Nothobranchius furzeri: one gene and its partners. The protein of the gene in region 5 purifies or fractionates together with the protein of the main gene of each other region. This does not show direct contact. Links are inferred from orthologs where the notes say so. Each region holds a gene or a part of one and is shown on either strand. Other genes may lie near its edges. The genes, in order: napab, vamp8, snap29, vti1a, stx6, stx12 and vamp3.

What was found.
Region 1: the proteins of stx6 (region 5) and napab purify together in Homo sapiens (affinity purification with mass spectrometry; 3 studies listed by BioGRID and IntAct, counting the BioPlex papers as one, with this or other methods). This does not show direct contact. The link is inferred for Nothobranchius furzeri from reciprocal best matches to the Homo sapiens genes STX6 and NAPA.
Region 2: the proteins of stx6 (region 5) and vamp8 purify together in Homo sapiens (affinity purification with mass spectrometry; 3 studies listed by BioGRID and IntAct, counting the BioPlex papers as one, with this or other methods). This does not show direct contact. The link is inferred for Nothobranchius furzeri from reciprocal best matches to the Homo sapiens genes STX6 and VAMP8.
Region 3: the proteins of stx6 (region 5) and snap29 purify together in Homo sapiens (co-immunoprecipitation; 3 studies listed by BioGRID and IntAct, counting the BioPlex papers as one, with this or other methods). This does not show direct contact. The link is inferred for Nothobranchius furzeri from reciprocal best matches to the Homo sapiens genes STX6 and SNAP29.
Region 4: the proteins of stx6 (region 5) and vti1a purify together in Homo sapiens (affinity purification with mass spectrometry; 3 studies listed by BioGRID and IntAct, counting the BioPlex papers as one, with this or other methods). This does not show direct contact. The link is inferred for Nothobranchius furzeri from reciprocal best matches to the Homo sapiens genes STX6 and VTI1A.
Region 6: the proteins of stx6 (region 5) and stx12 purify together in Homo sapiens (affinity purification with mass spectrometry; 4 studies listed by BioGRID and IntAct, counting the BioPlex papers as one, with this or other methods). This does not show direct contact. The link is inferred for Nothobranchius furzeri from reciprocal best matches to the Homo sapiens genes STX6 and STX12.
Region 7: the proteins of stx6 (region 5) and vamp3 purify together in Homo sapiens (affinity purification with mass spectrometry; 5 studies listed by BioGRID and IntAct, counting the BioPlex papers as one, with this or other methods). This does not show direct contact. The link is inferred for Nothobranchius furzeri from reciprocal best matches to the Homo sapiens genes STX6 and VAMP3.

Annotation. Positions count from the first base shown.
Region 1 is NC_091753.1:46,790,332-46,794,749, reverse strand, and holds the start of napab (N-ethylmaleimide-sensitive factor attachment protein, alpha b), read right to left. Parts: upstream 2,857-4,418; 5' UTR 2,732-2,856; coding exon 2,634-2,731; intron 1,963-2,633; coding exon 1,688-1,962; intron 545-1,687; coding exon 498-544; intron 402-497; coding exon 324-401; intron 226-323; coding exon 170-225; intron 1-169. UniProt on the Homo sapiens protein: Required for vesicular transport between the endoplasmic reticulum and the Golgi apparatus. Together with GNA12 promotes CDH5 localization to plasma membrane.
Region 2 is NC_091757.1:27,723,644-27,726,178, reverse strand, and holds the end of vamp8 (vesicle-associated membrane protein 8), read right to left. Parts: intron 2,141-2,535; coding exon 1,976-2,140; intron 1,016-1,975; coding exon 833-1,015; 3' UTR 625-832; downstream 1-624. UniProt on the Homo sapiens protein: SNAREs, soluble N-ethylmaleimide-sensitive factor-attachment protein receptors, are essential proteins for fusion of cellular membranes.
Region 3 is NC_091757.1:55,818,809-55,823,408, forward strand, and holds the start of snap29 (synaptosomal-associated protein 29), read right to left. Parts: upstream 3,068-4,600; 5' UTR 2,811-3,067; intron 2,116-2,810; coding exon 1,879-2,115; intron 1,641-1,878; coding exon 1,447-1,640; intron 561-1,446; coding exon 475-560; intron 394-474; coding exon 289-393; intron 1-288. Other genes in the region: pi4kab (phosphatidylinositol 4-kinase, catalytic, alpha b), read left to right, coding at 3,149-3,247, 4,580-4,600. UniProt on the Homo sapiens protein: SNAREs, soluble N-ethylmaleimide-sensitive factor-attachment protein receptors, are essential proteins for fusion of cellular membranes.
Region 4 is NC_091756.1:39,753,398-39,758,018, forward strand, and holds the start of vti1a (vesicle transport through interaction with t-SNAREs homolog 1A), read right to left. Parts: upstream 3,115-4,621; 5' UTR 2,955-3,114; coding exon 2,861-2,954; intron 1-2,860. Other genes in the region: palmitoyltransferase ZDHHC6, read left to right, coding at 4,341-4,607. UniProt on the Homo sapiens protein: V-SNARE that mediates vesicle transport pathways through interactions with t-SNAREs on the target membrane. These interactions are proposed to mediate aspects of the specificity of vesicle trafficking and to promote fusion of the lipid bilayers.
Region 5 is NC_091748.1:80,943,971-80,947,793, forward strand, and holds part of stx6 (syntaxin-6), read right to left. Parts: intron 3,776-3,823; coding exon 3,606-3,775; intron 3,383-3,605; coding exon 3,288-3,382; intron 3,215-3,287; coding exon 3,143-3,214; intron 3,040-3,142; coding exon 2,896-3,039; intron 2,821-2,895; coding exon 2,714-2,820; intron 1-2,713. UniProt on the Homo sapiens protein: SNARE promoting movement of transport vesicles to target membranes. Targets endosomes to the trans-Golgi network, and may therefore function in retrograde trafficking.
Region 6 is NC_091751.1:25,520,157-25,523,979, reverse strand, and holds part of stx12 (syntaxin-12), read left to right. Parts: intron 1-825; coding exon 826-963; intron 964-1,780; coding exon 1,781-1,824; intron 1,825-2,008; coding exon 2,009-2,111; intron 2,112-2,193; coding exon 2,194-2,266; intron 2,267-3,426; coding exon 3,427-3,509; intron 3,510-3,823. UniProt on the Homo sapiens protein: SNARE promoting fusion of transport vesicles with target membranes. Together with SNARE STX6, promotes movement of vesicles from endosomes to the cell membrane, and may therefore function in the endocytic recycling pathway.
Region 7 is NC_091743.1:51,782,907-51,786,729, reverse strand, and holds part of vamp3 (vesicle-associated membrane protein 3), read right to left. Parts: intron 3,119-3,823; coding exon 3,055-3,118; intron 2,830-3,054; exon of another isoform or gene 2,672-2,829; intron 2,316-2,671; coding exon 2,157-2,315; intron 1-2,156. UniProt on the Homo sapiens protein: SNARE involved in vesicular transport from the late endosomes to the trans-Golgi network.

The DNA of each region.
Region 1 (4,418 bases), on a different chromosome or scaffold from region 5:
TAGATCAAGGTGTTAAAAAGAAAAACGCACAGCAAGTAGATAGGTTTTGTTTTTGTTTCTACTAATTGGGCACTAGGGGGTGCTAAAAGCAAGCCAAAACTGCCTAGTCTCCCTTTAAACCCAAAAGTGGACAGAAGTATTGCTCAGATGTGTTACGTCAAATATTTACCTGGTGGATTCTTCGCCTTTGTAATAATCTGCTGCTTGTTCATAATGAGCAACAGCCTGAAACACCACCACCCCCGAAAAAAAAAAATTCAAATGACCATGTAAACATTTGATCAAATATAAACAACGTGATAACCATCAGCTGTGTCTCTGACCTTGTCGATGTCCACCAACTCCGTCTCATAAATCTCAGCGATGGTGATGTGGTGTTTAGCAGCGATGGTGAAACGACCCTAAAATTACACAGGAGCAAGGACGAAACAAAATTAAAAACACAAATCAATAAAACTATAATAGCTTAGGAGGGGGATTTGTATTAAAAACCTCACCATATCCGTGTATATTTCAATAGCTCGGTTTAGGCAGTTTATGGCCTCTGTTGAGAGAAAAACATCAGTTCAGTGAATGACAAGAAATAAGTAAAAGGAAATTTCTTTCCACTGCAGAAAACAGACTTTAGACAAAGTTCACTCATTTTCTCAATACATCTGCAGTGATCTCTAGAATGCATGAATGGCTTGTGAAACAACATCTCATGCTCCTGTTTCAGGAAGCAGAAGTGAGCAGAATTCCTGATGTTCGGACATCTCACCTCTGATTGACTAACATTAACACAACTCTACCACTGACTGTTCTGCAACACTGATATGTTATCTCCTCAAATAACACAAGCCTAAAGGAGTTCTGCTATGTTGTGGAGTTGCTCATGCTAACAGTTAGTGTCTACTAGCTCTGCTCTTTTCTGGGTGCTAAACCAACAACAGCCTTCCCCCGTCGTGAGCCAAGATGGGCGAGTCCATGAATGTTAATTCACAGCTTGATGTAGAGCTGACTGTACTTTCTAACTCAAACATTTCCCCATCTATTTTCTATGGGCGACTAATGCAGGAAATATGGGTAGAAGACTTTTTTCACGTTCAGCCTGTACACAAAACTCAGAGCTTCCAATCATATTTACATAATAATAAGTAAAAAAAAGTTTCTCAGTGAACTTGGTCTTTAAATGCACTTCTGTAGGAAACATTTACCCTAAACATCAGAATCAGGCTTACCCAGAAACTTCTGCACAGGTTGAGGAGTTTAACATTTCTGACTGCTCAAGAATTCCTGGTATTTGTCTTTGACGTTTCATCTTACTTATATCACATTTAGTTTTGAGTTGTGCCACCTGCACAGGCACAAATAAACTGCTGCAAACAGGCATTGATGTTGTTCAAAATCTGCATGTATAAAAACTACCCTTAGTTTTAAAAATAAAGAGTCTCGATCAGGGGTAAGTCTATAGAAGACAGCTAAATTTCAGACACACAAGATGCTTGGAACTAAGCTAGTATGGGGTAAACTAAAGACTGTAGATAAGTGTACACAGTCATGGGATCAAACTTGCTGCCAAACCAGGTATTAATTAGATTGGCTGCACTTTATATGAAGTTAATTTTAAAAAGTCCAAAAATGTATTTCCTTCCAGATTTTAAAACCTTTTACAAAGAGCTCCATGTAAAATTGAGTGACCTCTTACCTTGTGGATCTGCTTTTTTGAAGGCATTTCCAGCATCTATGAGATTAGTTGCTGCATCGTGTTTACTCTGCATTTGCAGGTGAAGATGAGCAGCCTGAGCAAACGCATTTCCTGCAGCTGAAAAGAAAACACAAATTAAAAGATAAAACATATCAACAGATATGCACAAGGAAGGGAAAGTAACTGTCCTCTTACCACACCAGTTTTTGGCCATTTTGTACATGTTGGCTGCCCTCACATACAGATCACAGGCCTCTTCCAGCTTGGAGGAGCTCCTGTGTGAAAGAAAAAACGTGTAAAAAAACAACAACTATAAGATACTGGTTATTAGCAGGTTAGGATCGTGTAAATGCAATAAACAAGACTGGATAATAAGTAATTACTTTTCAAAATAAAAATAGTAGATAGTATTTCATCTGTTGAGATTGTTGTCCAATAATGACAATATTTCCGCACCAACATTTTTATGGCAAAAGGCAAATATCAATAAATAATTTTCATTAGATTTGATACAACTTTGAGGTTTCTACTGTAAACATTGTGACGATTTGCACAATACGGAACAGCCAGCAGATGGTGCTACAGCAGAGCTAATGTGATCACACTTTTTAAAAAAATATTTTTTTACAGTCATACTTAAATAAAAACGAATTTAGTATTCTGTTATCGTCCATGTCAAACAACGGTTTGTTCAGTGTAATTTTTCTCAGTTTACTGGGATAAACGGCTACGTGTTAGTCTTTGTTGTTTGCAGACGTTATGGTCAGCAGAAATCCGGGGAAATAACCTTACGTCCGTAGACAAATACTCTCAATACCACAACATCTTAACAGCAGCTCCAGTCCTGTTGTGCCCAGCCATCAGCCCTGGTGTTAGGTGGTCACCTTCCGCATAGCTGGCCCTCAGCTTGAAAGCAGAAGCTAAACATCAGCTAACTAAAACTCACCCAAACAGCGACCCGAAAAACGACTGAGATGATTTAACTTTCTTCTCCGCCTCCGCCATTAAAGCTGTAGCTTCTTTTTCTTTCCCACTGTTATCCATTCTGCTTTACTTGTTTTTCTGAATCTAAAGGGGGGCGAAAAAATACTAAAGTCAACAAAGTTGCTAAGTATTGCTAACAGCAGTGTCACATCAGCAGCCAGCGCTTTCTCTGTCACGTGACAATGGGAGGGCGGTCACAGCCCTGCTGCCTTCAGGTGCTGCTCGTACGGTCCAGAGTTGGTCCATTACAAATCTATAATGTTTCATGTTATAAACTGATTGTAGACCATGCTGCAACACAATATATCAATCGATAATTTAATTAAGAAACATGTTCGTTGTTAATATTTGCTGTAGAAACAAAGGAATCGCTTCTAATCTGTCTCAGGATCATTACAGTGCGTTCATGACAATCTATATAAAACAGTTCCCTTGTGTTATCTGTTTTCAACAGCCAATTATTTTTCTATAAGCAATCAGACATTAAAGGTGACAATATTTAAGCATAAATGTTGTAATAAAACGTAATAGCGTAAATATCTTCAAAAGTGCAGTTTTAAAGGAATATTGATTAGAATTATAATAAGAAAATGCTTTCCTTTAGTCAATGCCAGTTCCATTATAAAGAGACATTTTTAATCAAAATGGGTTAGCATCATAATGAAACTGTTTGTCAGCTGAAATCTTTACAATTTTAACATAAATAATAGATAACAACTATGTTAAGTGGTTTTCCAGGCTTTGCATTATAGCACAGTGAATTAAATGTGTGTAAAATATTTTGTTGAAAAATACATGACAAACATATTTTAGGGCTATGGGTTGTGGTAGGTAACTACATGAGTCAAACATTCAAATACCTTTTTAAAATTTACAAAAATAATCACGTATTTTAGAACTATACAAAAATTATTTAAAATATGGAAAAGGAATGTTTTCTTGTAGATTATGTTACAGTATTTTGCTTAGGCTTTTTGTAGATTAGTTTGTTCTTTTCTTAGCCAAAATCATATAATCTGATTGCAGTTCAAGACTGGGTTGCATTTATCTAACAAATCTGCTGGCATTTGTTAACATGACTGCTTTTATATTTTTTTACATTTGTGATCCAGTTTCTTTTATGATTTCATTTTAAGCAATTTCTCCCCACAGGCTTCCTCTGCTGTTCCTGCCTTTCTATTGATGTTTTTTGAGTTTTAAAAATGAAAACAAGTTAACATGAAGAATATGTCAAATTTAAGAATGCACTAATTAACACAACAAAAATGTTCAAAAACCGTTTAATGTTCCGAATGGGTATTTGTGTGTAAAGAAAGTCTCGATAAACAACATGGATTTCAATCAGGCAGAGCGGAAGTCTGCCGTTTCCTGCCAGTAGTTGGGTCCTGTTGAGCAGCCCGTGCGAGGCTGTCCTGGAGACCCCGCGCTGCCTGCACCTCTAACGTCTCGGGTGAGTTTGTTACAATGTAACAATTTCTCCATTAATCCCAATATCCGCTACAAAGCTGCGATATCTGCTAACTGTTCAGCAGACACGAACCGCACTGCTACCGCAAAAGAAGCGACACACTGCCGCATCACACCGTAAACAGGCTCGTTTTCCAACGAATTCCCAAGCATACCCCCTCTCATCCAAGAGTATTCCAACATTTACTGATATTCTGCTTGCAATTAGCAATAGCTCGCCACGTAGTTGCGTTTACGACTATAAGCAGACAGCATTTCTTCGTTTTAGCTCAACCGGACT
Region 2 (2,535 bases), on a different chromosome or scaffold from region 5:
AATTTATGAGAAGAAGCTTTTTGACCTCTTTCAGGTTTTACTGGTACTGTAACAGCACACAGACGAGGAAGTGGAAACAAGACATTCTACAATAAATAAAAATGAAAGACCCATAAACTAGAAATCCCAGTTCCAGCTGGTTACTGGTTAAGAGAAGCCCAGCAGAGGGCGGTCTGAAGGGGAATAAATAATCTTCTGCAGCTGGTAGGCTGGAAGACCCTGAACATTAAACAGCAGAAGAGTAGCAGCTAAACGTTAAGTAACAAAGAAACAAACACACTTAAAAAAACCTAAAATGTGGGTAAGTAACCTACTGTTGTGTTAGAAACCGTTTCACCTCCCCGCCTGCTGCTGTAGCACAAAGAGCCGAGGCTCCTACACGCTGCATGTCGAACACAACTACTGGCAAGGGAACAGAGTTCATCCCAAGCTCCAGCCTCTCCTAATACCACTGGCCCAGTTAGCGCTAGCTTCACCGTTGCCACCTTGGATGACGTCACACACGAGACTGAAGGAGTTCGTTCTTTATCTACAAACTCCTTCTTTGTCACGATGGAGCAGAAACAGTTAGGGACAGAATGAAATCTGGTGTTCAAATGGAAAAAAACAGTGAAGTCAGAGAACTTTGTTCAGAAGACTCGGTCATTCAAAGTATTTTTATGATTTTCACAAGCTTATGTGTCATTACAGTGCGTTACACAAAAGCATGAAAGTAACCGGAGGAAATATTAAATATTCACCAAACCAAAGTGATTTTTCATAGAGTTGATATATTACTGAGTTTACAACAGCGACGTGTTTCTGCTCTCATGGAGTCACTACGGACACGAGTTCAGGGCTTGGTGGTGGGGGTGATCGGACCCACGGATGAACTGGTAGGAATCACTCCAGTGGCCAGAAGGACGATGACGAGGATGATGATGACGACAATCACCACGATGACCACGATCAGCTTGACATTTTTCCACCAGTAGGCACGAGCTACTTTACCAGCCGACTGTTTGAAGGTCTGAGCCTGAGGAGGAGATCAGAGACACACAGGTGTGAGATGGTCCAGGTTTTAGGTCGAAGCTGCAGGTTTGGACAGCAAAAACAAGATCCTGTTAAAAAGGAACACGCACAGCTTCCAAGTTCCTGCTGCTTCTTGTTAATCATTTAATTACGCTGAATATATTGAATATTTACAACCTGCAGGTGAAGGGAAAGCAACACATTTCTGCCCGAGTGTGTCTGTTGAAACCATCGGCATGGTTGAAACACATTTAAAGAGCAAGTCACCCACAAATCAACTTTTTTCCCCGATAATCTATATAAATTTGCATGATTAAGAGCAGCAGATAAAGGTTCCTAGGCAAGTTTCCACATGGACGCTGTATTGAGTGACGCATGATGCCTGCATGCGCCTGATCTCCGTTAAAAAAATGTGATCTGCAAATCCTGATCAACGCCTTTCAGAGCGGATCAAACCAGCTGGCTGCCGCTGCTGCTGTGGAGCCCGTAGAGATGCTGAACAGAGCGTCGCCCCTCCCTCCCGTCTCTCACACTGTGCAGGCACGCAGCGGCAAAAATGTAAACAAACAAGTCTGCTGAACTGCTGCCCTGGGACAGTTGATGAAACACGGTGTGGAGGAAGCTCGTTATTTAATATGAGTTTTAAAGAAGAAACTCTGGGCGGTAAGAGGTGAGGTTTTAAGGCTCGATGCACAAATAAAAACACGGAGCATCAACAGTCAAACACAGCACATCCAAAAATATTGGTCGTTCAAAATATATTTAAAAAAAGTTTACTTTATATATAAATAAAAGCCAGTCATTTGAAAATAAGGCCCATCACCATCTACAACATGTTTCAAGATAAACACCACCACTAATAAACTCACAAAACCAGCCACGGCTCAGCCAACATTACTGGTGCCATCAGTACTGGTATCAGTACCAGCAGGTAAGACCCCCACTCTCCAGTGGTAACACTGACCCCTGCTTGGAGATCCTCAGACTTGCCCATGAGGTCATCCAGCCTCTCTCCACGGGCCAGGATCCGATCCACGTTCTGCGTCATGATTTCTTTCACTCCATCCACTTGGTTCTTCAGATCCTGAACCTTGTCCTTTGGCGCTGCATCCTCAAACCCTCCTCGCTCCTGCAAAAGTGTGCAAAAAGGTCATTATTGCACAAGCTCAAATGACTGTTGCACAAAGGACCAGCAGCACCCTCACTGGAAGACGTGCTGGTGGGATTGAGGAGGTATTCAAAGTACTCCACCCACAGATCCACAACACCCTGAGTCGAGGTCAGCAGCCCACCATCCCCACTATAAACAGTCGTGGTAGTGGGGAGTAGCTCTCCCCTCCTGAAAAGCTGGATGGTGGACCTGGTCGTTACTGGCTAACATTTCCACAACAGTGCTGCTTTTTGCTGGCTGGTCTCAGATTAAGAATACGAATGCAGCAACATTTGGGTTAAGGATTTGGCAATCCTGCAGGCTCTAATACGATTGGCTCTAGAACCAGGAAGTATGGAGATGGGATAGTTGGT
Region 3 (4,600 bases), on a different chromosome or scaffold from region 5:
GGGAATTCTGTGTGGTGGCACCTGGGGTGGCCAATCAGATTCCAACGGTGGCATTTGCTACCCCAGGCCACTCCCTGGCCACGCCCCTGGGCATTATAGACCCACATGGCAGCACAAAAGAATGCAAATGGTGAGTTTTGCATCATGTCTCCAAGAATCGCAACTAAAGTTAAAAGACATTCTACTTTTATTTTTAACATTAACTTTGGTATTTCTCATCATGTGATTAGAAAATTGCACAATTTAGTCAAGGTTCAGTATAATATAACAGAAATGAATTATTTTTACCCAAATTTTTATCAAGGGTGTGGTGAGCCTCCTTGAGGTAGCTGTTCTGTGGGTATCCATTCTGTCCGGATGAGCCAGAATCCAAGGATGAAGCTGCTCCAAAACCTGGAACACAGGAAGGAGAAATGATGACGGCTGGTTCATGGGATGATTAAAACATACCCAGGTTCATGTGCCAACGCCCACCTCCTGTCTCCAGTTTTCTTAGATTGGGGTGGCTCGCTTGGTATTTATCTTCATGTTCTCTGCTGCTGGACATGGCCTTCTGTAATCTGAGACAAAAAGTACAATTCAAAACAAGAAATGAACTGAAATTTCCAGATAATGATCATGTTCTGGATTCTATGATAAATAACGTTTGGGGCTACTTTCATTAAACACATGAAGCACCTTAGTACATGTGCTAGAGGTGAGGGAGGAGCTACACCTCACCTGTAGTAACCTCTGAAAATCCTCCAGCAGTGCTTGGTTTGTAAATTCAGGGATACTTTAGAAATAAAACAGTAACTTTAGGTCAACTACTGATACTATGAGGTGTTGGTGGCACAGGAGCTCAGTGCTCGCCCCGTAATTAGAAGGTTGCAGCTTCGAGCCCCGCTCAGTTTGTCGCTGTCGTTGTGTCCTTGGGCAAGACACTTTACCCCCCTTGCCTGCTGATGGTGGTCAAATGGACCGGTGGTGCCAGTGCTCGCTCGCCAGACTTGCCTCTGTCAGTGCGCCCCAGGGCAGCTGTGGCTACATCGTAGCTCATCCCCACCAGGGTGTGACTGGGTGAATGACTGTGATGTAAAGCGCCTTGGGGGGTTATAGGACTCTAGGTGGCGCTATATCAAATACAGGCCATTTACCATTATACATTTCTAACATTTTGTAGCGTTGTAGCTTAGAAGGTCTAGTAAATGAATCAGTTGTATTAGTATGAAGTCAGATTTCAACTTTTAATCCTAATAATTATGATTCTTTAAATGCTGTAATATTTTATAACTTCTATTCCATTAAGCTTTAGAACTTGATTTGCATTCAACTTTAAAATAAAAGTTATTGAATATTTGTAAAAATGACAATAGCAAAAGCAGTAAAAAGTCTAAAGTGTTGGACCTGCAACAAATAAGAAAATGGTATTGATATGACAGCAGCACAGGAGTGACTGAAACGTACCGTTCATTGGTCTCGTAGGCTTTTGGCTCTTCAGGGGTTGGCTTTGCATCTGGCTTACCCTTGAAGTAATTGACAAGACCTCCCCACACACTCTTGATAGAGTTAATATGCTTTTGGCTGGTTTTCAGGTCCTGATCCATACCCTCCAACATCTTGTCAGCCCTCTTCAGAGCTTCACCTTGTCGCACCAACTCCTAAACACATATACACATAAAAATAAATGAGCAACCGAGGAAGGATATTTATGGATGCGGTGAAAGAGGATGTGAAGTTAATGTGAGGGTAGAGAATGCAGATAGGAAAGGACTGAATGACGACAGACAATTCACCATAGGGACCATTGAAGGCAAAAGCCAAAAGAGAAAGAAGAACATTAAAATAAATGAGCAAAAAATGGATGAAGAATGCATGGATAGATGGATGGACTTATACCTCTGCAGTTTCCACACCCATCTTCTCAGATTCATAAATGAGACCAAGGGAACGATGGCTGCTATCCACAGCAGACTGTGCTGTGCGCATTACTTCCTGTCGGAGATACCTCTGCCTCCTCTCAGCGTCAGACAGCCCGCTGTCATCAGCTTCACCATCAAAATCCCTATTTTTAGGCTTAAATCCTTCCTCCTCCTCGTCATCAGCAAATGGATTGTGAGATTTTGGGTAGGCCATCTGAAAGTTAAACGCACAGTGTTGACAAAATAATATTATCTAAAGTCTTAAATATATGTCAACAGGATTAAGTGTGCTCATCTGCTGTATAAAAACCACTAAGCAAAGCTTTTGACATTAAGAAAGTGAAATAATATCATGTTGTGAGAAACTGAAATAAGTCATAAAAGAAGTGATTAAAATCCAAATAAGTCCTCATAAGTTACTTTTCTAAAAATACACGTGAGAACACCTGCCAAGATAGATAATAATATAAAAAAAGTAGCTTGTAACGTATTACAGTCCCTACAACATAACGACAACTTACCATTAGCATCAACAGATAAGTTGACACATTAATCTGAAAAAAGTTTAGCTGTATTTTGAAAAGAACTCTTTTCTACTTTCAACAAGTTTCAGTCTTCACAGAAGAAAACATGTTTTAAATGATGGGTGGCTCCAAGCAGTTCACTGCTGTATGGCACCGGTATTATACAACCTAAAGACAATAATATTTGTTGTTCTGTGTTGTTATTTAATAGGTGTTGGCTAGCATGTTCGAGAAGATACTGCTAGCAGAACTAGCCGACCCACACGTCAAACAGCCACACCCGAGAGACAAAGCCGCGGTGTAGTTTGACTGTAAACACCTTTTCAGCTATGAAATAGCATGTGCCAAACGACACCCTAAAAATGATAATTAAAACGACACTCACCTTCTGACTGTCGATAACTCAGTGCTACAGATGAGCACTGTGTCACGTTGGATGACGTAGTGGTGTGCCGTGCGCAACAAAAAGTATAAAAGTACTCCTCGTGTATAAAATAATATAAATAAAAATTTAAAATATAAAAAATTCGGATGGGATATGTTTAACTTAGCTTACTTGGTTAAATAAAAAAAAGTAAATAGCTTCAATATATTGAATGGCGCAACATGGAATTGTCCGTGTTGGGCTTCCGTCCGTACTGCGGTATCCTAACGCTAGTTGCCGCTGCTCTGCCGTTTCCTCTTATTGTTGAATCATAACGCTGGCTTGATGGAATCGTAAACATGTCTTTAATGGGAGGCAGTACGAGAGGGTTTTATTTCAACACAGTTCTATCGCTGGCCCGCTCACTTGCTGCTCATCGTCCTGCCCCCGTCGACAAGGTGAGGAAAAATCCAGAGTAATTTTCTCTTGACAAAAATTAGCATAAAATTAGCTTAGGTCGGAACAGTAATGACCACTGGTGTTTAGGGTGTTGCTCCGCTTCCGCACGCCCAGGCGGTGCCTTATTTTGATTACAGACAAGATTAACGTTTGACAGTTCCGTTTATGTTTGCATTTAGAAGTCACCAGTACGGGAATTAATGTTTCCCTCTCCCGTATCAGAAGATAAACGGGCTGTTGCTGCGCTTGTGTGGTTCCTGCTACTGCATCACTCAGGCGGAGTAGCCAGCCTCGCTGCGGTCAAACAGGTTTACAGATGAGGGGGGAAAGTGCTCAGCTGGTTGTGGATACTAACCTGTTCAAACTACAGGGTGGAGAATGAAGAAGATTTACTTCACCACTTAAGAGAAGCTCGCACGAGAGTCGATTTGATTGATTTTGTTGAACCAACTATCCACGCACTCCATTATCTATTGTGTATTTAGAGTTTTAGCTAGAATATCAAACAGGTAATAAAACATGGAAAATTCATGTGTATTAATAACGGGTTGAATACAGTACAAATGTTTTTTTTTTTTACAAAAATCAGAAATAATTTCAGTTACATTGTTGTAAAATTTCAGTTATAAGACAGGTAAATATTGGATCATGCAGGTGTCGTAAAACAAGAAACACTGCAACATTTGAGACTGATACTATAAAGAAATAGCAGAACCCTTGTGACATATTATTGACTTTTAGATATAAAGTTTATTTGGAAAAGCCACAAACCTTTAATGTCATCTTTAGGTTTTAACTTAGTGATGCATTTTATGGCATAATTACCACAAACTTCCGCAAAACCCCAGTGTTTATTTGCTCCCAGATCTCGTAAAACGTTTAAATACTATATAATAACTTTAAATACTGGTATTTTAATAATGCAATGTGCAAGTTCAGTTAGTGAAGGAAAGTGTAATTAGATTGAAAAATTTCATTGTTTTGAAATGACCAGATTACCTTTTTTCCTTCTCTTTCGTGGTCGTATAACATAATTGCACCTACTAGACAGATCAAACAATGATGTTCCCACAAGCTTATATATGCGCTTCTCTTTATTAGTCACTCTTATTAACCCCGATGCGCCCATCATTGCCATCACAACCTGAATTGATCACATCTCATACTTTTAGGTTCCAATTTTTTACTCCCCCATAGACTGAAGCTTTTTACCTTATTTCATGTGACCGATGGGATGCTCTTACATATTTCCTGAGTAGATCCAGGCAGTGACCTTTTTTAGTAGAGGCGGTGGATATTTCGTTCATCTTAATCTTTTTGTGCTCTTTCAGGTTCAGAAGCTACAATGCATG
Region 4 (4,621 bases), on a different chromosome or scaffold from region 5:
ATGGACAGATGAGAAAGAAGTTCTGCACACAAAGAGAAAGCAATTAAAGTAAAGAGAGCTTGCTATTTTTATAAACGGTATCTGATTTCAGCTTACATGTAAACAGTATTTTATCAAACTGGGTCAAAACTTTTCATGTATTCTTATATTTTGTTGTAGCTTTGAGAGATTGTCACACATTTAAACTACAGAATTTGACAGTTTCATCTTTATTTTCCTACTCAAACAACTGTGGATAACTTCAATAAATGTAAATGAAACCAAATAATAAAAACACACTTATTTAAATCTCTTTTCCTCAGTAGAGTCATGGAGATGGTGTCTAACTAATGAAGTCATCAGATGAGAGGCAAGGAAAACTCTGGACAGGTACCCAGTCCATCACAGGGACACACAGTCACACACTCACCCGTAGGGATAATTTAGCCTCTACTTAACCTGCACGATTTTGATCCGTGGGAGGAAAGTGCAGTACCTACCCACACATGCATGAGAACATGCTAACTCTACACTGAAAGGCTGTGCAACATTGTAGGTATAATGAGGCAATGATAAAGCAGGAAAGGCAAATTTGTAAAACAAATTTACTTAAAACATTGTTTTTATGCCTCTTAATAACATTGTAACACAGTAGAGCTGTAAATATATTGTAGAGATTAAAAAACCTATATAATTGAAAGAAACATGGTCGTCTCTGAAGCCGGAAACATTGCCATGGTACGTTGCACTGGTGATGTTGCATCCAGCTGGTCCAGTAGAGCCAAGAGCCTTTCTTTCCACTTCCTCCAAGTAAAGGTTGGCTACAATAGGTGACACGGGGGAGCCCATGGCGCAGCCATGTTTTTGTCTGTAGCAAATCTCTTTTAAAGGGAGAGCACCCAGCCACTGGTACAGATATGCGGATGACACCTGGGTCAAAATCAAAACACAAGAAGTGGAATCCTTCACTACGCACATCAACGCCGTGGACAAAAATATCAAGTTCACCAGGGAAAACATAAAGGACAACTGCTTGCCTTTCCTGTGCACTTTGAAGAAAATGGCAACCTCAACATTGAAGTGTAGCGGAAGCCCACACACACGGACCAGTACCTCCTCTTCAACTCACATCACCCTCTGGAACACAAACTTGGAGTAATCAAGACCCTACACCACCAGGCAGAACATGTTCCCTCTAAGCCGGAAGGGAAAAAGAAGGAACACACACATATAAAGGAATCACTTAAAACATGTGGCTATCCTAATTGGGCATTGATAAAGTCAGCAAAGATGCACAGAAAAGAAGACCAGACACCAGCGAGGGAGGATAAGAAAGACAGACGCAACAACCTTGTCAACCCCTATGTAGCCGGTGTATCAGAGAAACTCAGGAGGGTTTTCTCCAAAAACAACATACCGGTGTACTTCAGACCCAGCAACACACTCAGACAGAAACTGGTTCACCCGAAAGACAAAACTCCTAAACACAAACTGAACAATGTGGTGTATGCTGTACAGTGCAGCGAGGAATGCCCAGACCTCTACATCAGAGAAACCAAACAGCCACTTCACAAGCGCATGGCACAACATAGAAGAGCCACCTCCACGGGACAGGACTCAGCAGTTCATTTGCATCTAAAGGACAAAGGTCACTCTTTCGAGGATGCCAACGTTCACATTTTGGACAGAGAGGACAGATGGTTTGAAAGAGGAGTAAAGGAAGCCATTTATGTCCACTGTGAGCAACCATCTTTGAACAGAGGCAGTGGTTTACGACACCAACTGTCTGCCATCTATAATCCAGTTCTGAGATCTCTTCCCAGATGCCTCAATGCCCACGCATATCCTGGGCCATCTGACCTCAGGAATTCACATGATAGGGTGGGGCCAGGCTTCACAATGAGCTCACCCGAAACTCTGGCTGTTTGTCTATTACAAAAACTGACTCTGGATCTGTACAATAAATAGCCCAATCACATCGATAGGGCCTACTCTCGCGAGAAACTGTAAGGTTATATAAAACACCTTCTTTGTCATATTATATTGGAATGAGAAGTCGTTTATAGAACGTTATTATCAAATTTATAATGTACGATAATTTGTACTGAAAAACGATAATTTAGGCCTCTCTGTACAATATTGTGGGATTTTGGATCTGGCAACACTGACCCACACCCACCCTCACACCTGGGCTCATGTGTTTATGTAGAAGATCATCAGGGGGTCTTTTGTTCCCTCTTCGGGGGAAACTCCCACTGGGTTTGAATCTGGGACTCTCCACCATTTGACCTTAGAACTGAAGAAGCCTCTCGGATGAGAGGTGAAACATCTTCAAGCAACTCAAAGAAGTCCAGACGCTTTTCTTTCAAAGCTCCTTAGACCAAAAGCATATTTGAAACGTTCTGTAAAGCTGACTCCCTGTCTGTCGTGTTTAAGAGGAGTTTAACTATCTTTCTGTGAACCACTACTGACAGAAGTCTGACTGAACACAACAACAAACTCTTCAAAATAAAGTAAATCTTCATGCAATAAAATCAGCCAGCTGCCAAGATGTTATGCTTATATCAAGTATAAATTCCTGACACGTGTATACTCAGTTTGAATTATTTTGCTGGATTACAGAACAACTTGGAACAAACGTTAAACCAGAAAAAATACTTGAGAGCTAAATTATCACATGCTAAACTACAAACTCACAATCTGCCAGTGATGTCCACGGTGTCGTATAAATATCTAGAACTCAATAATTGCGTAACGTTGGGAATGTATTGCAAATGCATCACATCTCCTGCTACCATTAGCTACCCCTCTCAGCTGAGACTTGATGGCTAATGCTAGCTAGCATCTCACCGATTAATAATAGTAAGTTCAACTGTCTTACCTCCACTTAGTTTAGGAATTTTGCCGATTTTGTTAGTTATTTCTGCGGTGACTGTTCCAAAGTCCTGTTCGTAGGCTTCGAAGTCAGAAGACATTCTGTCGAACGAGTTTAAAATGAGTATTAGCTATCTGACTGTCGGTTACCTCAGAATAATAACAACAATCCCCGAATGGAGTCTCTTCCTGTAGTTGCACTGAAAACAGCTCGACGAGAAACTAGAGGATTTGTTTGATAGTACTAGTTCGATACGTGCCGAATGCGTTTACCTCTCCATTCGAGTTTTTCGTAATATTATTTTTTAAAAATTGACAATTTAATTGTTTGCATTTAAACGTATCTGTAATAGTTTAGGGATTTTGGCTTCTGAAGCACGGCGAGAAAGGTTCCTAGTTCGTCCACCGGAGAAAATCTACGGCAAAAGACAAGGAAGTGACTAGGTTGGTAATTTAAAGTGACAGTTTTTTCGCCTCTCACAAATTTAAATCAAACACTTATCTTTAATAATATTAATAATAGCTTCATATCCGCGTGTCATCTTTGCGTTTTAGGGTAACAATAATGCTTTAGAGGTTAGTCGTGTTGGCAAGCTGGCTAACTAACGTTAGTTCGCTAACTGCTGCCACTAGATCCAAAGACCGAATATCTATTTTTATATATTTATTAACCGAGTAGGCACTCTGATAATCACACATCTACAAAATATATCCGATCCTGATTGGTCGAGTTATACTAGCTGACAGAAATGCTGACTAAAGAGTCGCCATGTTTATATCACTGTGTCAAATTAGCTAGCTTGGTAACAGAAGCTAATTAATAGTCAATGTGCAGGTGCTAATGGTGTGAGGTTGGATACTCATTTAAATATTTTATTTTGTTTAATTTAAAACCAGATAGATACTTGTTGCATTTAGTAAAGTGGAAAAGAAAAGTTCCTCATGTTTAGTGACAGTATTACCATCAACAGAAGAGGAAAAGATTTGCTACGATAGAAAATGAGAGAAATTCTGCATAAATTATGAATCAAACAAGATATGATCTACTGAAGGATGCTGCATCTCTCAAGTCTAAGCTGATTTTTTTATTTTTCCGGGGAAGAATAATTCTTATATGCATGCTTGCCTCCAAAGTACTTTACATTTACACACTTGCACTTTAAACAACTATGTTAATGTTTTTTTTTTTAATTATTATTTTATTTCTGTCTAACAGATGGGGAACTTTAGTTTCTCACGAGGATAGTGTGCTTCGGGTGTTGGCAGGAGACGATGCTGGTCTTCACCGGGTCATGGATTAATGGGACACAGGGAGCCCAAGTTACTCAAGGCCAGGACGCTTGCTGGGTACTCGGTAGAAGAGATGAATTATGTGCATTGTGTGCACCGTTAACAGCACAAGGTAGCAGAGGAAGCGCGTAGCACATCCAACGTGGGTCAATACATCTCAGAAAAGTAGAAAACTGAACTAATCTTCATGTGAGAAAATGAATTTCCTGTCAACCATTGTGACATTCGAGAACCTTCATGAGGTTCGAAGATTGTGCCACTGGGGTCCAATCATAGCTTTGTCTGTCATAGCTATTTGCTCAACCATGGCAATAATAGACTCCATCATTTGGTACTGGCCGCTAGACACCACAGGAGGAAGCATTAACTTCATCATGCTCATCAACTGGACTGTGCTCATTCTCTACAACTACTTTAATGCTATGTTTGTTGGACCTGGATACATTCCTCTGGGCTGGAAACCAGTAAGATTTACTCG
Region 5 (3,823 bases):
GAGCATAGGAACTTGACTCCATAGTACAACCTGACCAAGGTTACACACACACATATAGACAGGACAGATACAGGCAGACCATGGGAGCAGCCATGACGGCGCTCCTTTGTAGAAGAATGAGGGAATACATGAGGAAAGTTCAGGGGAGGGAGAAAAAAGGCATTAACAGGGTTACACCAGCAGGGTGCAGCACTCTAATGCAAAAAAAAAACACCTGACATGTAAGCACGAACGTCACAGTTCACAACATGAGACCCGGTAGGTAGGGGGGAGGGGCTGGGACCCTGGTTTCCTCAGCGGGGGCTGCCTGTGGCGCTCAACCAGCTGGCTCCGCAGGTGGGAGGGAGGTCATGGGGAAGCACAGAGAGCAGTGAGTCCTTTAGCTTAATGACCTCGGTAGAGACCACAATCTGAAGGCGGGGGGGTGGGGGGTGGATAGAGTTTCACAGCATTTGTCTGCATTCCTTCCATTGTGGGGGTTTTTGCACGCAACTCCAAGGCTGCTTTTGGCGTCAGATTCAATAACAGAACTTTGTTTGGGTCAGGACGAGATAATTTTCCCTCTCTGCCTTAAGTCTGTATTGATCATTCAAGTCCTCCAGTGAAGCCAATTCAGTGATTAAACATCTCCACACCGTCCGGTGACCCTTTCCGAGATGTTATCAATCCTGCGCGCTAACACCGGTAACGCAGCTAAGACATTGTCCAGCTTGCGATTCACCTCGAGCAACGTCCCAGTCTGTGAGGTATCCACACGGACGGTGCTGTCCATGGTTGCGGGTCGCCCTCCAATCGCTCCCGTCATCCCAATTTTACGGAAAGCCAGATATCCTCCCACTCCTATCAGAAGAAATCCAACGATCATCAGGCCAAATATCCACATATCTTCGACGTCCTCAATGGACAGCTGAGAGAGACAGATGATATTCCACTTCTTCCAGGAATCGAACATATATCCCGCTGCATGTGTCCCCTGAGGACAGGCGCGAGCCCCCTCCTCCGTCCCCATTGTAGAAAAAATCTTATCAATCGCGTTGAATGACCAATTAATTAAGTCCATGCTGAAAAATGGTGATTGCAGAGGAAATGCAGAGAAGCGCTCTGTAGGCAGACGGGACAAAAAGAGCCTTGGGGAAAATACAGATAAGGGAGGAAAAGGCAGAAGCGACTGCTCCCTGTGAGTGCCAGAAGAAGAAGAAGAAAAAAAAAACAGATATGCAACAGACTTCAGACAACACAACATAAGTGTCTACTAGGTGGGGTGGTGGGTTGGGACTATCCCCACTCCAACTCCTGCAGCCACGATAGAAGCAGCACATGTCACCTCAGTGTGGATAGGGGGAGGAGCATTGAGGGTTGGAGTGACCCTGGAACAATTCAGCGGCCTTCCCACTGTGTTGAGTTGCCATAGCGACGGCACATTCCACTTATCTTCTGAGGGGGGAGTTTTTGTTGTAGCCTTGCAGGCTCAAGGATGCCAGATTCCGATTAGAAATTGTTTTGGGGCCAGACAGAGATAATTTCCTCTCTGTCTTAAAGTTTGATGGTCCTCAACCTCTCAAAATCCCAATAATGGACATTAATCTATCCCAATCCATGCTGATTCGTCCACTCTCTCCTTGATATCATCCATCTTTTGAGCCAAAGAATGAATGTCGGCCAAAGTCCCAAGCTTACAATTCATCTTGACAATTATTTGAGTCTGTGAATTCACAGCGCGGTACAAACCATCTCTGAGCTCCGGGATCCGGCCAATATTCCTCGACAGCTCATTAATTTTCCGGTAAGCCAGGTAGCCTCCAATGCCGACCAGCAGGAAACCCGACACCAACACCACGAATATCCACACGTCTTCAGAGTCCTCCACAGACAGCTGGTCTGTCCCGGAGGGGCATCCGGGAGCCCCTTTCCCCGTTCTCATCGTTGAAAAAGTTTTAGCAACCGCGTGGAGAGACCAACTGACGAGATCCATTTTAGTGAATTTCAGTTTCCAGTTTCCAGAAAAAATGCAGAAGCAGCCGTGCACCCAGCACACACAGACAGACAAAGGCCTTGAGGATAAGATATGGAGGAGAGGAGAAGAAAAGCGTCTGCACCCTCCTAGAGCCGGAAGAAGAAACTTCGGATACGAAGGTAACCATGTAGAATTATACTAGTTGAGCAACTGGAAATGTGCATGACTTTTATTTTGAAAGTTTCTGGACATTTTAAACAGCTTTTGTGTTTGACTTCCTGGCTGCCTTGATTTGAACTGCTATGCTTGATGTGTTCTGGAAGTGTCGCTACAGTGTAGCTCATCACCACCAGTGTGTGAATGTGCGTGCAGGAACGACTGGATTTGCTGTAAAGTGCCTTGGGCGTTGTAAAACTCTAGAAAGCGTCATACAAATGCAAGTCATTTACCATTTCTGCTAAAATTGGAACACTACGGCCTGTTTTAGTAGAAAAACATTCATTCGAACCGATTTAGTCACTGTCTTGTAGGCGATATAAGAGACATCCAGGCTGACTGTACTTTGAACTACGGGAGCCCAACAGAGGGAAAAATCCATATTTTCCTAAATTAGATCTTCACAAATGGAAAATTCAAATTAATCAATAAAATTGATTTACCTCCCAGCTTTAATACACACATAGAAATGAATGCATGGATCTGAAAGATCTCTGGAAACCAGTACTGCTGGTCCAACCAAGATAGTGTTTGGATTCTTACACAGTCTGCTCATCCAGCTCCATGCCAATTCGCTCTGACATGTTCCTCAGTACCCCGATGGTTCCGGACACCAGTTCCAGTTGTTCATCCTGCTGTTCTGCAATCAGCTGGAAAACACAGACTGCTGTGAAACTTGTTCTATCCAAAGACTGGGTCTTGGTGCTGTTCAGGTTTTCTCCTACCTGCTGCTGCACCTGCTGCTCCTCAATGAACTGAGAGTTGGCGTTCTGCAGCTGATGGTCCAATCGGCCATACTTATCAGAACTAGACTGCCGGATGGGGCCCTGGGCTCCACACTCCCTGAGCAGAACCTCAACAGGAAAAGTCAAAACATAGAGAAAAGCTCCCCAATCATCATCATCTTCATCCTGTGAATCATCTGACTCATGGGCACAAGTGCAATAAGAGGAGTTGAGAGTAAACAGCTACCTGTTTGTTCTGTCTGTCAGCCGGGTTTGGGTTTGGGTTAGCAGCTGGGCTCAACATCTGCTCTTTCATGTCCTGCAAAACAAGGAGACCATTTGACTTTAGGCCCAGAACCCCAACCCTGGACCAGCTCTGGTTTTGGACTTACCTTGACCGAGAGCCTTGTACTGGTGATGAAGGCCCTCCTCCTCATTAGCTCTGCTGCATCTAGGTGGAACTTCTTAGGGTTGGACACCACGATGCGTTCACATGTAGTTAGAAAATGTTTTATTTTTGTTTCAGTAAAACACCTAAATGACCACCATGTGGTCACATGACAACCCTATTCATGTGACCATGTTGTTAGTTCCTTTCTTTAGCTATATTCTGATTTTGTGTTGATGGAGCGAATGGTTACTATGGTTACTGACTAGCTTCCTGTTGGGACCAATAAAAGTTATGAGACCAATTCAAAGGGGAAGGATATTGATGGTCTCGTCAAGGTCCTCCAGATCCCACTCAATGGATCGCAAGCTGTTCCTCAGCTCATTGGTTGTCCAGTCCATTTCTTCTTTGGAGGCTCTGCCCCCTTCCTGCTTCAGGTTGCTCCATCTGTGATGGAGGTTCTGAGCTACATGCACTGCCTTCTCTACCTCCCTGCAAAAAAGAGAACATGGAGAACTCTGTGAGGTGAATCTACTTTTG
Region 6 (3,823 bases), on a different chromosome or scaffold from region 5:
GAGTTTTCATGTTGACATATTTACTGAATACATGATAAGAAAAGCATATTTCCAGTCTGCTGTCATTGGTATGTTTATAGTAAGCTACCTATTTATACCTCGAAGCAATCCTAAAACCCAGCACTCGACTTCTGGACAAAGGGTTTGTAAAGTAACACTAAACAGTTTCTAGCTTCTCCGTCCTACTGGTTCAAAGTGGAATTACAATTGTTGTAAGCAACCCTGCAGCAGGCTGCTGTAGCTAGCGCTAACAACAAGCTAGCACCAACATGAGGCAAGTCTTACTAAGTAAGCCCCAAATTAAAAATGTCCACACTGTTGGACAAAAAATAATATTACTAAAATCCAGTAGCAACAAAGTCAGGTCACCATCAGTCTGTGATTTCGTAGCCTCCTTTAGCTTCCTCCAATGAGTGTAGGCCATGGTGAGGTTCACTCTGGTTTAAGCTCTTTGTTTCACCTCCAAAGACAAAACACTCCAACTATTACCTCCAGGCTCCACCATGGTGCTGACAAAAACAAGCTTTTTTCTTCTTCTTCTTGTGTTCTTCATTGACAGCTGGTGAATTAATTAAGCTAACTGCTAGCTATTTAGCCCTTTTAAGGATCAATGTTTCTCTGTTGTAACATTCTTCCTGTAATAAATTTAATATCATTGATAAGTGTGACTGTTTCCTTGAATGGAGAAACATTTGTAGAACAGTGGAGTGTGTGGGTTGCTTCCATGAAAAACTTCCCAAACCTCCTTGGCAGATTGTGCTGTTGACTCTTGTTTGGGTTTGCTTGTTGGATTGGATGATTGATGTCTGGTTCTGTGGTGTCCAGAGGCAGCAGAAGATCCAGAGGGAGCGGCTCATGAATGACTTCTCAGCCGCTCTCAACAACTTCCAGGCTGTCCAGCGGCGTGCAGCAGAGAAAGAGAGGGAGTCGATAGCCAGAGCGAGGGCTGGATCTCGACTATCGGTAAGGATCAATTATTTGTTATTGACAAGGCAATGGTAATATGTACTGGACTGATCCCAGAATTGGAATCTTTATTTATTTATTTGTTTGTTTATTTATGTATGTATGTTGATTGTGATTAATAAAAGAGCATAAAACAGGAGTTGTTTTCCACTGGAACCTGTGCTAAAATGGAAACTATGGTAGTATTTGAAGTACTCCAAAAACATTTGTGAGAGACAACAGCATACAGCCTTAACACACACACACACACCACCAAAGTAAGAGAATAATAATAATAATAGTAACCCTTTATATATCACAAGGAGACCAAAGTGCTGTACAGGTCAGTCAACAAGAACTTAACCAAACCTAAAATGGCTAAGAAAAGGCGGCTTGGCAGTTTCTGATCAGCTGGAGTAAACAGCCAATTTAAAATGATGGGTCTTGAAACGAGGTTTAAAATCTTCCAACATTCTGGCCTTCCTTATACCAAGAGGATGCGGCTCTGTTGCCCCAGGTTATGAGATGAGATCTGGGATAAACCGGCAGTAAGAGGGAGCAAGGCCATTCAAACATTTAAAAACAAGAATTCAAATCTTCAAATCAACCCTAAAATAAACTGGGAAGCTAGCTCTAACACCCTCTCACATCACCATGGTGGATCTTTGTCCCACTCTTCTCTGCAGGATTGTTTAAATGCTGCCACATTGGAGGGTTTCCCAGCATAAGCTTCCTGTTTAAGGTCAAAGGTCAAATGTTCTGCTTGGGAGCAGAAATCACTTGTTGATGTACTGAGGATGGATCGGCTAACGTGTGTCTTTGTCTTCTCTTTTAGGCAGAAGACAATTTTCGTGATGAGAAGCTTGTTTCGTTTGATAAGTAAGCGATTTCCATCTGGTCTCTCGAGGAACTTTGTAACCAAAGAGTTAAATGTGAATAAAGGATGAGTCGTTATAATTGTTGAGCTTGGAGTCCCTACTGATGGCTACGATGGCTGTGCTTCTCATCACTTAGGGGTTAGTAAAAGTTACAAGACTTTCTTTTATCCTTTGTTTTTGTGAAGCCAAGAGGATTTTGGTCAGCTGACTCAGACAGAGGAGGTCGGTGTCACGGAGGAGGACCTGGAGCTGATCAAGGAGAGAGAGACCAACATCAGACAGCTGGAGGTGAGACGTCACTTCCTGTTACCTCCTGTGACATCACTACCAACTGGAGGACCAGCAGCTGATTTCTGTTGGTTAATTTCAGTCTGACATCATGGATGTGAACCAGATCTTTAAGGACCTGGCTGTGATGATCCACGACCAAGGGGAGATGATTGGTGAGTGGTTCTGTACTGGTTGCAGTATTCTGGATACTGGGTCAGGTGGCCATGTGTGTACTTGTAAAAATTGGTCTTAAAGAAGCTTTGTGATTGGCTACTGGATTTTTTTCCACCTGTAATAAATTCTGTGGTATTTAGTTTATCCACTTCTTTGTTTGGATCAGTATATGTATCCCATCCATCCATTCATTTCCCTCCACTTATCCGGGGTCAGGTCGTGGGGGCAGCAGTCTAAGCAGAGAGGCCCAGACTTCCCTCTCCCCAGCCACTTGGGCCATTTGATATTGTTAAATAATCACCTAAGGATGTACAGGAGGCCATGTTTGTTTTTGTTGGTTGATTGAAGAGTCGTTTTTCGGGTTCACCTAGTGAATCAAACACTTTTATAATGTTGTCTATCCCAGTCTTCCTGGAGTTGATTAAACCTCTTGTTTGGTGTAGATGGAAAAACGTATGGAGAAGGAATTATCTTGAAGGAGTCTGTTAGGACAATTCTGGTAGTAATAAGTGTCAGATAGGCTGATGAGTCTGTCTCTCAGCTGCTGTCTCTGAGGCGTCCACGGCTCCTCCACCAGGGCCAGAGAACCAAAAAGAGCTTCCTCTGCAGGGTGTCTGGGCCCAGCCTCAGAGATCAGACAACCTGCGGAGTGGGACTGCTGTCCATGTCCAGAGCGGCTAACTGGAGCATTTGGCCAAGATCCCTACTGTGGGAAGTGTTTTGGGTATGTCCCATCCAGGTTGACCCATGGTGCACTGGAGGGAATGTATCTCTGACCTGGTCTGGGAACTGCTTTTGTCCCACGGGAGGAGCTGGTGGGAGTGGCAGGGGAAAGGTTGGTCTGTGCTTCCTGCTAGGCCTCCTGACCTTAACCAGAATGAGTATATTTGAAATGTCGCCACCCTTTAGTTCTCACCTCTCTCCTGAGCATCAGGGAGGTCCTCACTCTTGTGTCGCTGTTCACAAAATGTACAGGTTTTCCATGAAAATAGTGACTGAGTCATCAGGGGCAACGGTAGCCATCTGGAACCCTTCTCATGCTCCTGATTTATTCCATTTCCATCCTTCTGTCTGAAGGGGTGGGCAAAAGAAATGACGCCCATGGATTCTATGGCAGCTTTGTCTTGTTCCTGTTAGCTGATCTTGTGTTCTGCTGCAGATAGCATCGAGGCAAATGTGGAGAACGCTGAAGTTCACGTGGAACGAGGAGCAGAGCAGCTGCAGAGGGCAGCTATGTATCAGGTGAGTTCTTCTCTTCCATCTTCTGTCGTTAAAGAACCTCTGTGGTGGAAAAATGCTCTCACCAAGAGGCATGCGGGTGATTAGAATATGGTTTCACTCTTGCAAAGGTGAGAACCCCGAAACAAAGGAGTCAAGCCTGTTTCTGACTTAAGGACCAAGTTCACTTGTGTTTTCTACACATTTTGCAGTGGCTTTTCTAATCCGAGTTTCCTCGTCTATTTTCCATCAGCAGCTGATGCAGGAAATAGGGGTAGAAGACTATTTTCACATGTCTCAGTGAACTTGGCCTTTAACACAGAAACATTGCACTCTTT
Region 7 (3,823 bases), on a different chromosome or scaffold from region 5:
AATCTTCTGGTTGCCACTGGTCCTGGCTGTTTTTCTTCCAGTTCGACGAGTTTTCTTTTGGAAGGCTGGCTGACTCCAGTTAAAAACTGCCACATTTCACCGCTAGTTTTAACATGAAGCTAACGGCTAACTTGATAAACTGATTCAATGGGATAGGTGGAAATGACGTTGGATGCGGCGTTCACGTTTCGCGTACGTTTGTGTAAGTTGCATGCAGGCGGGAGGAGTATCAGAAATCCGTGGAAGATGACTGATAAACATAACTACAGGTGCTGGCCAGTAAATTAGAATATCATCAAAAGGTTGAAAATATTTCAGTAATTCCATTCAAAACGTGAAACTTGTACATTATATTCATGCAATGCACACAGACCAATGTATTTCCGATGTTTATTACGTTTAATTTTGATATTTATAGGTGACAACCAATGAAAACATCAAATCTGGTATCTCAGAAAATTAGAATATTCTAAAGGGCAATGAAAAAATGTTTGTTTCTCTAATGTTGGCCAACTGAAAAGAATGAACATGAAAAGAATGTGCATGTATAGCACTCAATACTTAGTCGGGGCTCCTTTTGCCTCAATAACTGCAGTAATGCGGCGTGGCATGGACTCGATCAGTCTGTGGCACTGCTCAGGTGTTATGAGAGCCCAGGTTGCTCTGATAGTCGTCTTCAGCTCCTCTGCATTGTTGGGTCTAGCGTATTGCATCCTCCGCTTCACAATACCCCATAGATTTTCTATGGGGTTAAGGTCAGGCGAGTTTGCTGGCCAATCAAGGACAGGGATACCATGGTCCTTGAACCAGGTGCTGGTGGTTTTGGCACTGTGTGCAGGTGCCAAGTCCTGTTGAAAGGTGAAGTCTGCATCCCCATAAAGTTGGTCAGCAGCAGGAAGCATGAAGTGCTCTAAAACTTCCTGGTAGACGGCTGCATTGACCCTGGACCTCAGGAAACAGAGTGGGCCAACACCGGCAGATGACATGGCACCCCACACCATCACTGACGGTGGAAACTTTACACTGGACCTCATGCAACGTGGATTCTGTGCTTCTCCGCTCTTCCTCCAGACTCTGGGTCCTTGATTTCCAAAGGAAATGCAGAACTTGCTTTCATCAGAAAACATAACTTTGGACCACTCAGCATCAGTCCAGTCCTTTTTGTCCTTGGCCCAGGCGAGACGCTTCTTGCGCTGTTTCTTGTTCAAGAGTGGCTTGACACATGGAATGCGACACCTGAATCCCATGTCTTTCATGAGTCTCCTCGTGGTGGTTCTTGAAGCGCTGACTCCAGATGCAGTCCACTCTTTGTGGATCTCCCCCACATTTTTGAATGGGTTTGTCGTCACAATTCTCTGCAGGGTGCGGTTATCCCTAGAGCTTGTACACTTTTTTCTACCACATTTTTTCCGTCCCTTCGCCTGTCTGTTAATGTGCTTGGACACAGAGCTCTGCGAACAGCCAGCTTCTTTAGCAATCACCTTTTGTGTCTTGCCCTCCTTGTGCAAGGTGTCAATGATTGTCTTTTGGACAGCTGTTAAGTCAGAAGTCTTCCCCATGATTGTGGTGCCTTCAAAACAAGACTGAGGGACCTTTTAAAGGCCTTTGCAGGTGTTTTGAGTAAATCAGCTGATTAGAGTGGCAGCAGGTGTCTTCTATATTCAGCCTTTTCAGAATATTCTAATTTTTTGAGATACCAAATTTGGAGTTTTCATTAGTTGTCACTTATGAATATCAAATTTAAATGTAATGAACATTGGAAATACATTGGTCTGTGTGCATTGCATGAATATAATGTACAAGTTTCACGTTTTGAATGGAATTACTGAAATATTTTCAACCTTTTGATGATATTCTAATTTACTGGCCAGCACCTGTAATTTGGTGCAAACATTTACTCGCCAGGTGGCAGGTAGAGCTCAAAAATTTACTCGCCAAATGGAGCAATTTACTCGCATTTGGCGAGTGGCGAGTGTTAATTTCGGACCCTGCTCGCATCCATCAGTGCGCCCCAGGGCAGCTGTGGCTACATTGTAGCTCATCCCCACCGGTGTGTGAATGTGTGTGTGAATGGGTGAATGACTGATAGTGTTGTAAAGCGCCTTGGGGGGTTCCAGGACTCTAGAAGGCGCTATATCAAATACAGTCCATTTTACCTTGCAGTTCTTCCACCAGTACTTTCTTTTCAGTTTAGCAGCACTGGTCTCAAACTGGGAGGCCCCGGCCTGCAGAGCATCTGCTCTGTCATCCAGGTCGGACAGCTTCTGATCCCGTTCCAGCACTTTGTCGACATTAACGCGCATAATATCCACTACCTGTTCAAACGAAACAACAGTTAATGCTTCTGCAGAGACAAGCTTCAGGAAATAAGCAAGTGTAGCGTTACCCAACCCCAACATACACATCCTGAAAACATGAATCACATACAGACTTTATTTCACTAACAGAATTCACAATGGGGCAGGTAAACGTGTGTGTATCCACAGTGTCACTGGGTAGACACGCCCATATGTTCCACTGATCCACAAACCTCACTACTGCCCCTCCCCTCTGAGTAGTGGAGGAGTGTGTAAGCCCATACAGGCCTTACATAACCACTGAGACGGCGATTACATAACCATCTGACAACCAATTGGAGAGTGTGTGACACGCTTAGGTTAAAGTTCTGTAGAGGAGGGGTGGACCTCAAGGGGAAAGCCAAAGAGAGAAAGACGGGAAACTGGGATTATGGGTAGAGACTTGGCAGTGTTTTTAACCAATGTCCTCATCGACACAGTTATGAATCTTTAAACTGAAGAGGAGAACTGTGGTGGCGTCGCCATGTGTTATGTAAGTTTCAGCACCAGACAGAAGCGAGGGGTGTGTGTACGAGCTGGTTGATAACGATATCAATAAAAATGCCTTCAGAGTGTTAAAGAAGCAAATAAGCCACATCTAGAAAGCAGAGTTAAAACATAATTTAAAAGTAGCATTTCCACAAAAGTACTAATATATTTTTCTGGTAATAAATCCTCAAGTTAGGATTTTTTTAATTCAAGCTAAACTTTAACTTACTTCATCCACCTGGGCCTGAGTTTGCTGCAGGCGCTTGTTGCTTCCTTCTGGGCCGACGTTTGACCTGATGAAGTGAGAAACATGATATTTCCCATAAATACACCAAATAACATTAAGCTGTGAGCAACATTTTTATTATTAATTGGCTACTTTTTAGAGTGGATCGGTTTCACCCTCACTAAAGCACCCTGGTATGAGCTAAACTGGAAACACACAATGGCAACCGTGATAACTACTGTATGATTTTCTTGTGTTTCTTTGAAACGTTTAAATTATGGTTAGCAGCTTTGAAACTAGAAAACAAATAAACAGATTATTTTGTAATTTATTAAAATTGATCACTATTACAGGACAGCGACCTGGGTCTCTTTGGTGTGTGTTAGGGCTGTAGCGAAGCCTCGACGAAGTCGACGGCTCGATTCTAAAAATTTGTCGACGTCAGATCCGGAAGTCGACGCACCGCGCCCACTTGTTGCATCCCCAGGAGTTTGTAAATAGAGGAGGAATCTGCCTGTTTTTCCTCTAGTTCGCCCTCTTCTCTGCCTTCACTAACATCTCCGCCAAATACCGAAGACCCGGAACAATGTCCGTCCACTACTAGATTATTTTCCTGTTTTGCCCCTTCGTCTCCCGGCAACGGACAACAACTTCCGGGGTCAGATGTGCGCTGCTCCGTCTCTATCGCAGATGTAGAAAATCACCGGGAGCGCTTCTCCCTTCATTAAGGAGCTTCTTTCAGACATGAGGAGAGCTGTTTTGGTGGTAGCAG